Linked DNA regions of Caenorhabditis elegans. The protein of the gene in region 2 purifies or fractionates together with the protein of the main gene of each other region. This does not show direct contact. Each region holds a gene or a part of one and is shown on either strand. Other genes may lie near its edges.

Region 1 (3,554 bases), on a different chromosome or scaffold from region 2:
AAGCTAGGAGTACTGTATTTCACGGATTACTGTAGTTTTTCATTTAAAAAGCTTGGGTCGTGTCGAGACCGGGTCCCGTAATTGTTTGTTTTAACAATTGTGATTTTTACAGTGCGAATTGACTCTTAATGCATTTTTTAATAAAAAGATTTACAAAAAAGATTCCCTCGCCGGTTGAGCTTCCAAAATTTCAAAAACGATAGCTTACCTTCTGCGGCTAACACATTGAGAAAAATAAAAAAAAATAAAATCAGCATGATAATTTCTGTTGTTAGCTTATTGTGCGCTTTCCCCCAAAAACGGAAAGTGATCCTTGTTTCCTCTCGAGACCCTAAGAGGACCGCCCGTTTTGTATACCAGTTTCTTCGTTCCCTCAACAACTTCTAAGCTTCATGTCCTCCACCCCTCTGGTCACATCACTCGACTGTGTTCCCCTGACTTGTTGAGAGAGAGAGTAAGAGCGGATGCGAACGAATCATGTTGTCGATTACTAGTCGGGTGTCACATATCGTTTACTTATCACATACAAAATAGATAGAAGCGCAAAGAGATCGCCGATAGAAACAATATCTCGGAAGAAAATGGGAAAATGCAAAGTGAAAGCGGGTATAATCATGAAAAATTGTTATGAAAGTATGTATTCATAGTTATATAATGAATGAGAGAAGGCAGAAGCAGGGAGCAATAAATATTTGGCAATGTTACTTAGATTTCATCAATTGAGAGCTCTGGGAAATCACCAACTTTCACATCGACTGGTCGAACAAATCCTCCGTATTTGGGATCACAATCGAAATATCTGAAATGAAAGTGTTCGGATAAAAATTATTCAAAATTATGGCTGAGTTACCTGACACCAGCAACGGATCCATCATTCTTTCCAACTGGCTCATCGTATTTAACTCCAACCCAAACACCTTCCTTAAACTTTGTAGCTCCTACGTATGCGACTTCTCCTCTCCGGGCCATTTGTGCTCCAACAGTAACTTCGCATCGGTTTCCAACCTTTAAATTAAATTCATTTTTCCTTTTTGGAACAGCGCTCTTACCATTATATTTTTCGCGGCTTCTTCATTCAATTTATCGCTTTCATTTTCCATTGGAGCAGCACTACCTTGTTCTTCTTGCATCTTTTTCTTCCATGCACGAACGCTGTCTGTTCTCTTTCCATATGTGTCATCACTCATTTCATATTTTTCAACCATACTTTCGTCCTTGAAATCTTCGTTTCCACCAGTCACATCAACGGCGTGAATTCGGTAACCGTCGCGAACACCCAAATCTTTCAAACTTTTAGCCCCGTCTGTCAGCTCTCCTTTCAGTTGATCATCTCCATCAAACAATTGAATGCGCATTGAATCGACCGTAGTTCCAACTACAAGTTCGAGTTTCTTCTGAAAAGTTTTCGATTAAATAGTATTTTTAAAGAAAACATTATTTTTACAATATACTTACTTTCAAATCATTCAACGACATGCCAGCCGGATATTTCTTTTCCATCGGAAAATCTGTTGCATTTGTAGTGATTTCAAGGTCGTAAACTTCTGTCATTTTTCAGTTCTGCAAGAAGAAAATTTGTGAAAAAAGGGTCGTTTCCAAGGAGAATGTTCTGAGAGAGCTTAAGAATAGCTTCAAGAAGAATGAGCGGTCATGCATTGTAAATGTGTTCCGGAAGAGCAAGAAAGACGGGCGGTGCAATTAAAACGATAAATAGGCAACACCTGCTTCCAATGGTTTCAAATTGTAAGAGAGCATGTAAATTCAGTCAATTCATTGCGAAATTCGGAATTAAATTGGATGAGCTAGCGAAACGGCAGCTGAAGACTACTTATTGCAATCGAATTTTTTATCGAGAAATCTGAAAGGTTTTACTATAAAAATAACAGTAAAAATATCATTGAAGTCTTTAGGAAACTAAGAAATTAGACAAGAATTAATAAAAAATAAATGCATCTGACTTGGCCGAGAGGAGTACACAGGCTGTGCAACGGAGCGCGCTTACCACCCTTTCATTTTATTTGAAAAAAATGCAGGTCTAGAAATACGAAGCATATGTGAGAATTCAGTAAAACAATTTCATGATACTTCATCAATTTTCTGGAAATCAGTAAAAATCCAGAGAGTCTAATTGTGATACAATTCTTGTGAGAGGATGTCACATTTCTCAAAAAAATATCAGGGAGAAAAATATAAAGTGAAACAATCAAGATTCGTATCAATTTTTGCAACTTTATAACACTGACTCAATAATCAGCAATATTTGAAGTGTTCCTTACAAAATGTGAAAAATACTTGAATGCATGAGAGAGTGGATAACTTTTTGGGAATACTTTGAATACCTATTTTTAATGAAGCCACAACTTTTCGATCAAAACTAGATTTGCAAAAACATGTTAAACTAAAGGAACAAAACGTGAAGTGTGATCAATCGGATTATATTCGAACAGTACATTAGGGCTGTGCGGCTGATGACTCGGCTGAACGAGCAAATCAACGTTTTTCAACGTATTAGCAATGATCAATTAGGGAATACTTGTATTTGCCATATCGGCTGAGTCTTGAGCTTCTAATTCTAGAAAAAAGTTTTTAAAAAAGTGAACACCCCTTCCAGAAAAACTCGTTTTTCCAATCAGCCGACAGCCGACAGCCGAGTTACTCGGCTGATTCAAAAAGCCGACTGTTTTGTCAAGGTGTGTGCACTTTAAAAAAACTTTTTTCTAGAATAAGAAGCTCATGACTCAGCCAATACTGCAAATACAAATATTCTTTAATTGATCAGTGCTAACACGTTGAAAAACTTGATTATCTCCATCAGCCGAGTCATCAGCCGCACAGCCCTACAGTACATGGATATGTCTACTCGCAGAGAACACAATTTGCTGATAAGAACAAAACTAAATTGATTTATTGATACATTTAAATATGTCATAAGTTCATTAAGAGCCATAGTAGACGGCTGCAATAGCAATGAGGACTTGGATGAACAGAAGAAGAGAAGCACCGAATGCAATGATTGGGAAGAACACGTGAAGAACAGCTCTGAAATTTTACAGTTAATCTGCAAAATACGACTTCCAAATTAAATATTCAATGTGGCACTATTCATTAAAAAATTCGGAACTCGGTCTCGAAACGGTCGCAAATTTTCACTTTGTAAACTGCGAAAAAGAGTATGTACCTTTCAGGGTTACGGTAGTGTTTATTACATCATGTACCTTGAAGGTTTCGTTCCAATTCAATATGAATTTAATGATAAGTCTTCAATTTTAATTAAACTTTCCTAACTTACCCATGATCCGTAATCACCATTGTTCTTCTAACTCTAATTGTATTTGGAGTTTTCTTTTCTTCCTTCTTCCCTTTGGTATCTCCAATTGTTGTATGTTCCGGATTGATATTTTCATTGAGAAGATTGTCTGCTCTCTCAGTTAGCAAATCATCTTGATTTACATGTCCTTGTCTTCAAATCTACTATGGCAATAATAATCAATCCGATAGCATACCTAAGAAGTTTCTCGACGCTGCTCATGTCGAAGACGAGATTGATTTGAACT
Region 2 (5,269 bases):
TATTCCAAACAGTATATTAATCCGATCCAGTTTTCGTTTCAGGAACGAAAATTCTTCACTAAAATCGAGGACGTACGACCATTCAAACGATCTTGTGAACATGTCGGTGATTCCTGCCGAATCGAGTTATGTACTCTTTTTCCAAGTAAGTTTTTCAGGTATTTTACAAAAGAAATTATGAACTTGCTGTTTTCAGGTTCTCTTTCCGTTTGCCGTCGCTGGTCTTGGAATGGTATTTGCTGGATTGGTTCTCTCAATAGTAGTCACATGGCCTTTGTTCGAAGAAATCCCTGAAATTCTGATTCTAGTTCCAGCACTGCTTGGGCTTAAAGGAAATCTGGAAATGACACTAGCCAGTCGACTCTCAACACTTGTGAGTTTACACTTGAGAATATTCAATTTTATAATTTTCTATCAATTTTTCAGGCTAACCTTGGTCATATGGATTCTTCAAAACAACGAAAAGATGTAGTCATCGCCAACTTGGCACTTGTGCAAGTTCAGGCTACTGTCGTCGCTTTCCTCGCTTCTGCTTTTGCCGCTGCTCTCGCTTTCATTCCTTCTGGGGATTTCGATTGGGCTCATGGTGCATTGATGTGTGCAAGCAGCCTAGCTACAGCATGTAGTGCATCCCTCGTACTATCACTGTTAATGGTGGTTGTCATTGTGACATCTCGAAAATACAACATCAATCCCGATAATGTGGCCACACCAATTGCTGCATCACTTGGAGATCTGACGACACTCACTGTACTGGCTTTCTTCGGATCCGTGTTCCTCAAAGCTCATAATACTGAATCTTGGCTCAATGTTATCGTGATTGTATTATTCCTTCTTCTCCTTCCTTTCTGGATAAAAATTGCCAACGAGAATGAAGGAACACAGGAGACTCTCTACAATGGATGGACACCAGTCATCATGTCAATGCTTATCAGTAGTGCTGGAGGATTTATATTAGAAACCGCAGTCCGAAGATATCATAGCTTGAGTACATACGGTCCAGTATTGAATGGTGTTGGAGGGAATTTGGCTGCTGTTCAAGCCAGCAGACTCTCTACTTATTTCCATAAAGCCGGCACAGTTGGAGTTCTTCCGAATGAATGGACTGTCAGTCGATTTACCAGTGTTCAGCGTGCATTCTTCTCAAAAGAATGGGATTCTCGATCGGCTCGAGTTCTTTTGTTACTCGTTGTTCCTGGTCATATTTGCTTCAATTTCCTTATCCAGTTATTCACTTTGACTTCAAAGAATAATGTGACACCCCATGGACCACTTTTCACCAGTCTTTATATGATTGCGGCAATCATTCAGGTAAGGTTTTATCGAAAATTTAAAATATATAATCAAAATTTCAAAAATTGCAGGTTGTCATACTTCTATTCGTTTGTCAACTTCTCGTCGCTCTTCTTTGGAAATGGAAAATTGACCCAGATAATTCTGTGATTCCATATCTTACAGCTCTTGGAGATCTCCTAGGAACCGGACTCCTATTCATAGTATTCCTCACTACTGACCATTTTGATCCAAAGGAACTCACTTCGTCATAATTTTAAAACGTTCAAACTTTTACCACATTGTATAACTGCATCCCCGTTATTATAGATTGGTTCTCATCCCCCATCTGCATGTAAAACAGTATTTCGCTAACCTAATTTTTCATTTTCACAACTAACGCACTTTCATCAGAACTCTAGTCAAACCCGATGAGTTGATTGATATCCATTTGCCGTCAAGCGCATAATTTTCTGTACATTGTGATCCATTTTTCTCTCTAGCTATTTTTGGTCATATCTAATAGACATTTTGCATTTTCCGCTAGTCACTATGTATTTTTTGGGAATAAATAAGTTAATTTGAACTTTTAAATTTAATTAATTTTTATCTCTGGACATCTTATTCCGCGAGTGGTCCAATAATTTTGACAAGATGGGCCAAGAAAAAAAACAATTTTCCAGATGGAAATAGGACAACGAGTTCGAATAAATTTCGAAGTAGCAACAGTTCGATATATTGGAGAAGTCGATGGATACGGTAGTCAACGATGGGTTGGATTGGAGTGGGATGATCCGACACGTGGAAAACATGATGGAATTGTGAGAGGAAAACGATACTTTCAGACGAGGTTAACAGACATTTTCATCAGAAATATATTCTATAGACATTTCTCATTCGAAACTGTCGGAAATGAATTCCAAATTGGGACAAAAAATGGAAGTGATCTCCGCTGTACACATTTTCATAGTTTTATGGCGGTCTCCATGAACTTTTAAATATACAGTGTCGGGGGATTATTTACCGTATTTAACACTCCAATTACTTTCCCTTAAAAATTCGTCACTAAATAATACAAACTAGTCACAAAAGTGTGAACTTTCAAATTTTCAGACATCCAAATGGAGGATCATTGATGAAGCATGAAATAGTACCGAAACCAACTGATCTATTGTTTGAAATCAAAGACAGATACATCGAGGAAGAGAGCGTCGAAACTGAAATTGAATTGGCGCAATCCAATAAGAAGATCGAGTTGATCGGAATGGATCAAACGGCTGCAAAACAAAGCAATATCGAGAAACTTATAAATATTGTTCTTGATAATCGATCAGTCGGCTTCCCACCTTCCTCGGATTCTCCCCAATTTATACTTTGTCGTGAACTTAATCTTTATGGAAATCTACTGTACAAATGGAAAACAGTTCGTCAGATTCTTGAATATTTTCCTAGAATTCAAGAACTCAACTTACGAAGGAATCGCATGCAATGCTTCAATGAAGAAGAAGATGATGATGAATCAGAAGGAGATGATCATGTTTATTCGGATAGTTGTAAGAAATTGGTCATTAGTGAATGCAATTTATCTGAGAATTCGGTAGGTTAAAGATTAAAGGTTAAAGGAATACCAATGAAATATTAAAAAAAAAGTGTCTAGAATTGCTATTTTTATTTTTCAGATCGACTCGATTCTTCTCCGGTTCCCCTCTACATCAGATGTCGTGGCGTTTGGTAATGATCTCACAAGATTCTCAGTTTCTGAAGCTGTTTCATCTCGTCTTACATCCCTCGATCTCGAAGATAATCCATTCAAAACACTAGATTCCATTCACGGAACTTTTCCGAATTTGACACAACTTTCTGTGGCGAATTGTGGAATTACGAGCTTAAACGGATTCGATGGTTCGATAAAATTCCCGAAACTCGAATATCTGAACATAAAAAGAAATTCAATTGTTGAATGGAAAAGTGTAAATTCCATTAGATCTCTTAAAAGTTTGAAACGGTTATTGTTCGATTGCAAAAAATTATCAACTGAAAAGGGTGTCCATGCCTATGAGATTGTAATTGCCAAGTTGAGCACTTTAATAGGTTGGTTTCAAAAATATTAAAAATTATTTAAAGTAGATGTTTTTTTCTAGATCTCAATAGGTTTGATGTGTCAGAAGTAGAACGAAGGTCTGCAGAAATTCGATTTCTGAACAAATATGCCGGTCTAAATGATAACGAAGATCATCAAGACGATATCAAAAGACTGATTGAAATTCATGGAGAACCGACACTTGATACAGCAAAAAAGGGCCTTGCGGTGGTGAAAATTAGAATTGAATGTGGAAATCGAGTGGAGACACGAAGGCTTCCATTGGGAATGAGCATACAGAAAATTAGAGATATGGTAGGCAAATGAACAATCATTATTATTTGAATCAAGAAGACATGCATGTACTTTTGAAAATGCAAAGAATTTAATTTAAAAATGTATTATCTTGATTCGATTATTTTGGGGACGCAGAAACGCGCTCCACTTCCAATTGAAAACGTAACGAGCAATGGGTCTCGCTAGGTATTTGACAGAAAACTGTAAAATCAAACGTTTCTAGTTTGTTTTGCCGATTTCGCTAATTTTAAAGATTTTTTGTTATGTTTTCCGTTGTTTCCAAAGATTTTTATGCCGAAAGTAATGAAATAAAAATTTGAGACAAAATAGAAAAAATCATTAGCATTTCATTTTTAAACATCTCTTCGACATAAAAATCATTAAAGAATGAAAAACGAACCAAAAAAAGACGAAAAATGTTTAAAAATAGGCGAAATCAGTAAAACTAATTGAAACATTTTAATTTACGGTTTTGTCGCCTAATACCTAACGAGACCCATAGTTTGTGGGCGGAGCATTTAAAATTAACCGTTGAGCGTGTTTTCAGATCAATGTCTAAAGTGTTTTTTTCTGCGTCCCCATATAGAGGCTAGTTTCATCAAAAAATAGAGGCTAAATACTTCCATCAAAAATTTTATTTTTTCCAGCTCGCTCGTCTCTTCAAAGTCCCCAATACATCGAAAATCCGTCTATACCTCGTTATGAGTGAAAAAGCCAAACAACACCGAATTGAACTAGAAAATCCGTTAAGAGAATTTGGACACTATTCACCTTCAGAAGATCGAGATATTCTTGTTGTGGAACATGATTGAATTGTTACCGGAAGATTATTTATTGCACAACTTATTGTTTGTTACAAAATATATGAGCTTTAACTTGCATAAAATTCCTTAATTTCTTATCAGCGAAAATGTCCGTTAAAAATACTATCCGTTATGTATCGATTTCAATACTATTTACAATTATTCCGATTATGGAATAAAATCAATCAGTGAAAATTTCACTTTTGAAAATTTCGTCATATGCATGGGTCTCGCAACTATTGTTGGTTTTTTTTGTACTGTGATCTACTATTGCATACCAGAAAATCTTTTTTGAATTTTTGAAGAATGTCAGCGAAAGAAGTGGATTTCGAGAGAGAAAGTCATCTTCAGTGAGTTTTTAAATTACTGAAAATCAATAGTTATTTGTGATCTTGTTGAATAAAGTTCAATTTATCATAAAAATAATTTTGAATTTTCAGTGCTGTGATGTGTTTTCTCACTGGACAAAGCGGCGAAAAGATTGTATCTATTTATCCACATCGAAAACCAGCTACCAAAGGTAATCTGAACAATATAAAATCTCAAAAAAAAAAACATTTTCAGCTCCATCGAAAGATCCACAACCTTCCAGCTCTAATCCAGGACAATGTGTGAAGCCAGTTCTTACAAGTGTCAAAGAGTTCGTTTAAATCCGAATATTTAAATTTAAATATTCAAACGTTCAAAATTTCAGTCCAAGTTATGGTTTCGGACGTGTGGATACAGAATTCGACATGTCTCTCGGAATGCTTGCTTATGTGTTCAAAACTCAAGAAATTGCGTGTAACGATGGGTTCGATATGAAGATCAATAATCA

The links.
Region 1: the proteins of tbce-1 (region 2) and tbcb-1 fractionate together in Caenorhabditis elegans (co-fractionation; one large-scale study listed by BioGRID). This does not show direct contact.

Annotation. Positions count from the first base shown.
Region 1 is NC_003283.11:13,590,130-13,593,683, reverse strand, and holds tbcb-1 (Tubulin-specific chaperone B), read right to left. Parts: upstream 1,561-3,554; 5' UTR 1,552-1,560; coding exon 1,456-1,551; intron 1,395-1,455; coding exon 1,050-1,394; intron 1,006-1,049; coding exon 851-1,005; intron 800-850; coding exon 706-799; 3' UTR 501-705; downstream 1-500. Other genes in the region: F53F4.4 (DUF19 domain-containing protein), read right to left, coding at 209-257; F53F4.18 (DUF4342 domain-containing protein), read right to left, coding at 2,937-3,039, 3,290-3,460, 3,504-3,529. UniProt on the Caenorhabditis elegans protein: Binds to alpha-tubulin folding intermediates after their interaction with cytosolic chaperonin in the pathway leading from newly synthesized tubulin to properly folded heterodimer.
Region 2 is NC_003282.8:8,292,735-8,298,003, forward strand, and holds tbce-1 (Tubulin-specific chaperone E), read left to right. Parts: upstream 1-1,955; coding exon 1,956-2,122; intron 2,123-2,385; coding exon 2,386-2,869; intron 2,870-2,951; coding exon 2,952-3,363; intron 3,364-3,413; coding exon 3,414-3,667; intron 3,668-4,296; coding exon 4,297-4,461; 3' UTR 4,462-4,549; downstream 4,550-5,269. Other genes in the region: K07H8.2 (SLC41A/MgtE integral membrane domain-containing protein), read left to right, coding at 31-145, 197-373, 427-1,311, 1,365-1,547; nprl-3 (GATOR complex protein NPRL3), read left to right, coding at 4,759-4,802, 4,893-4,972, 5,017-5,092, 5,147-5,269.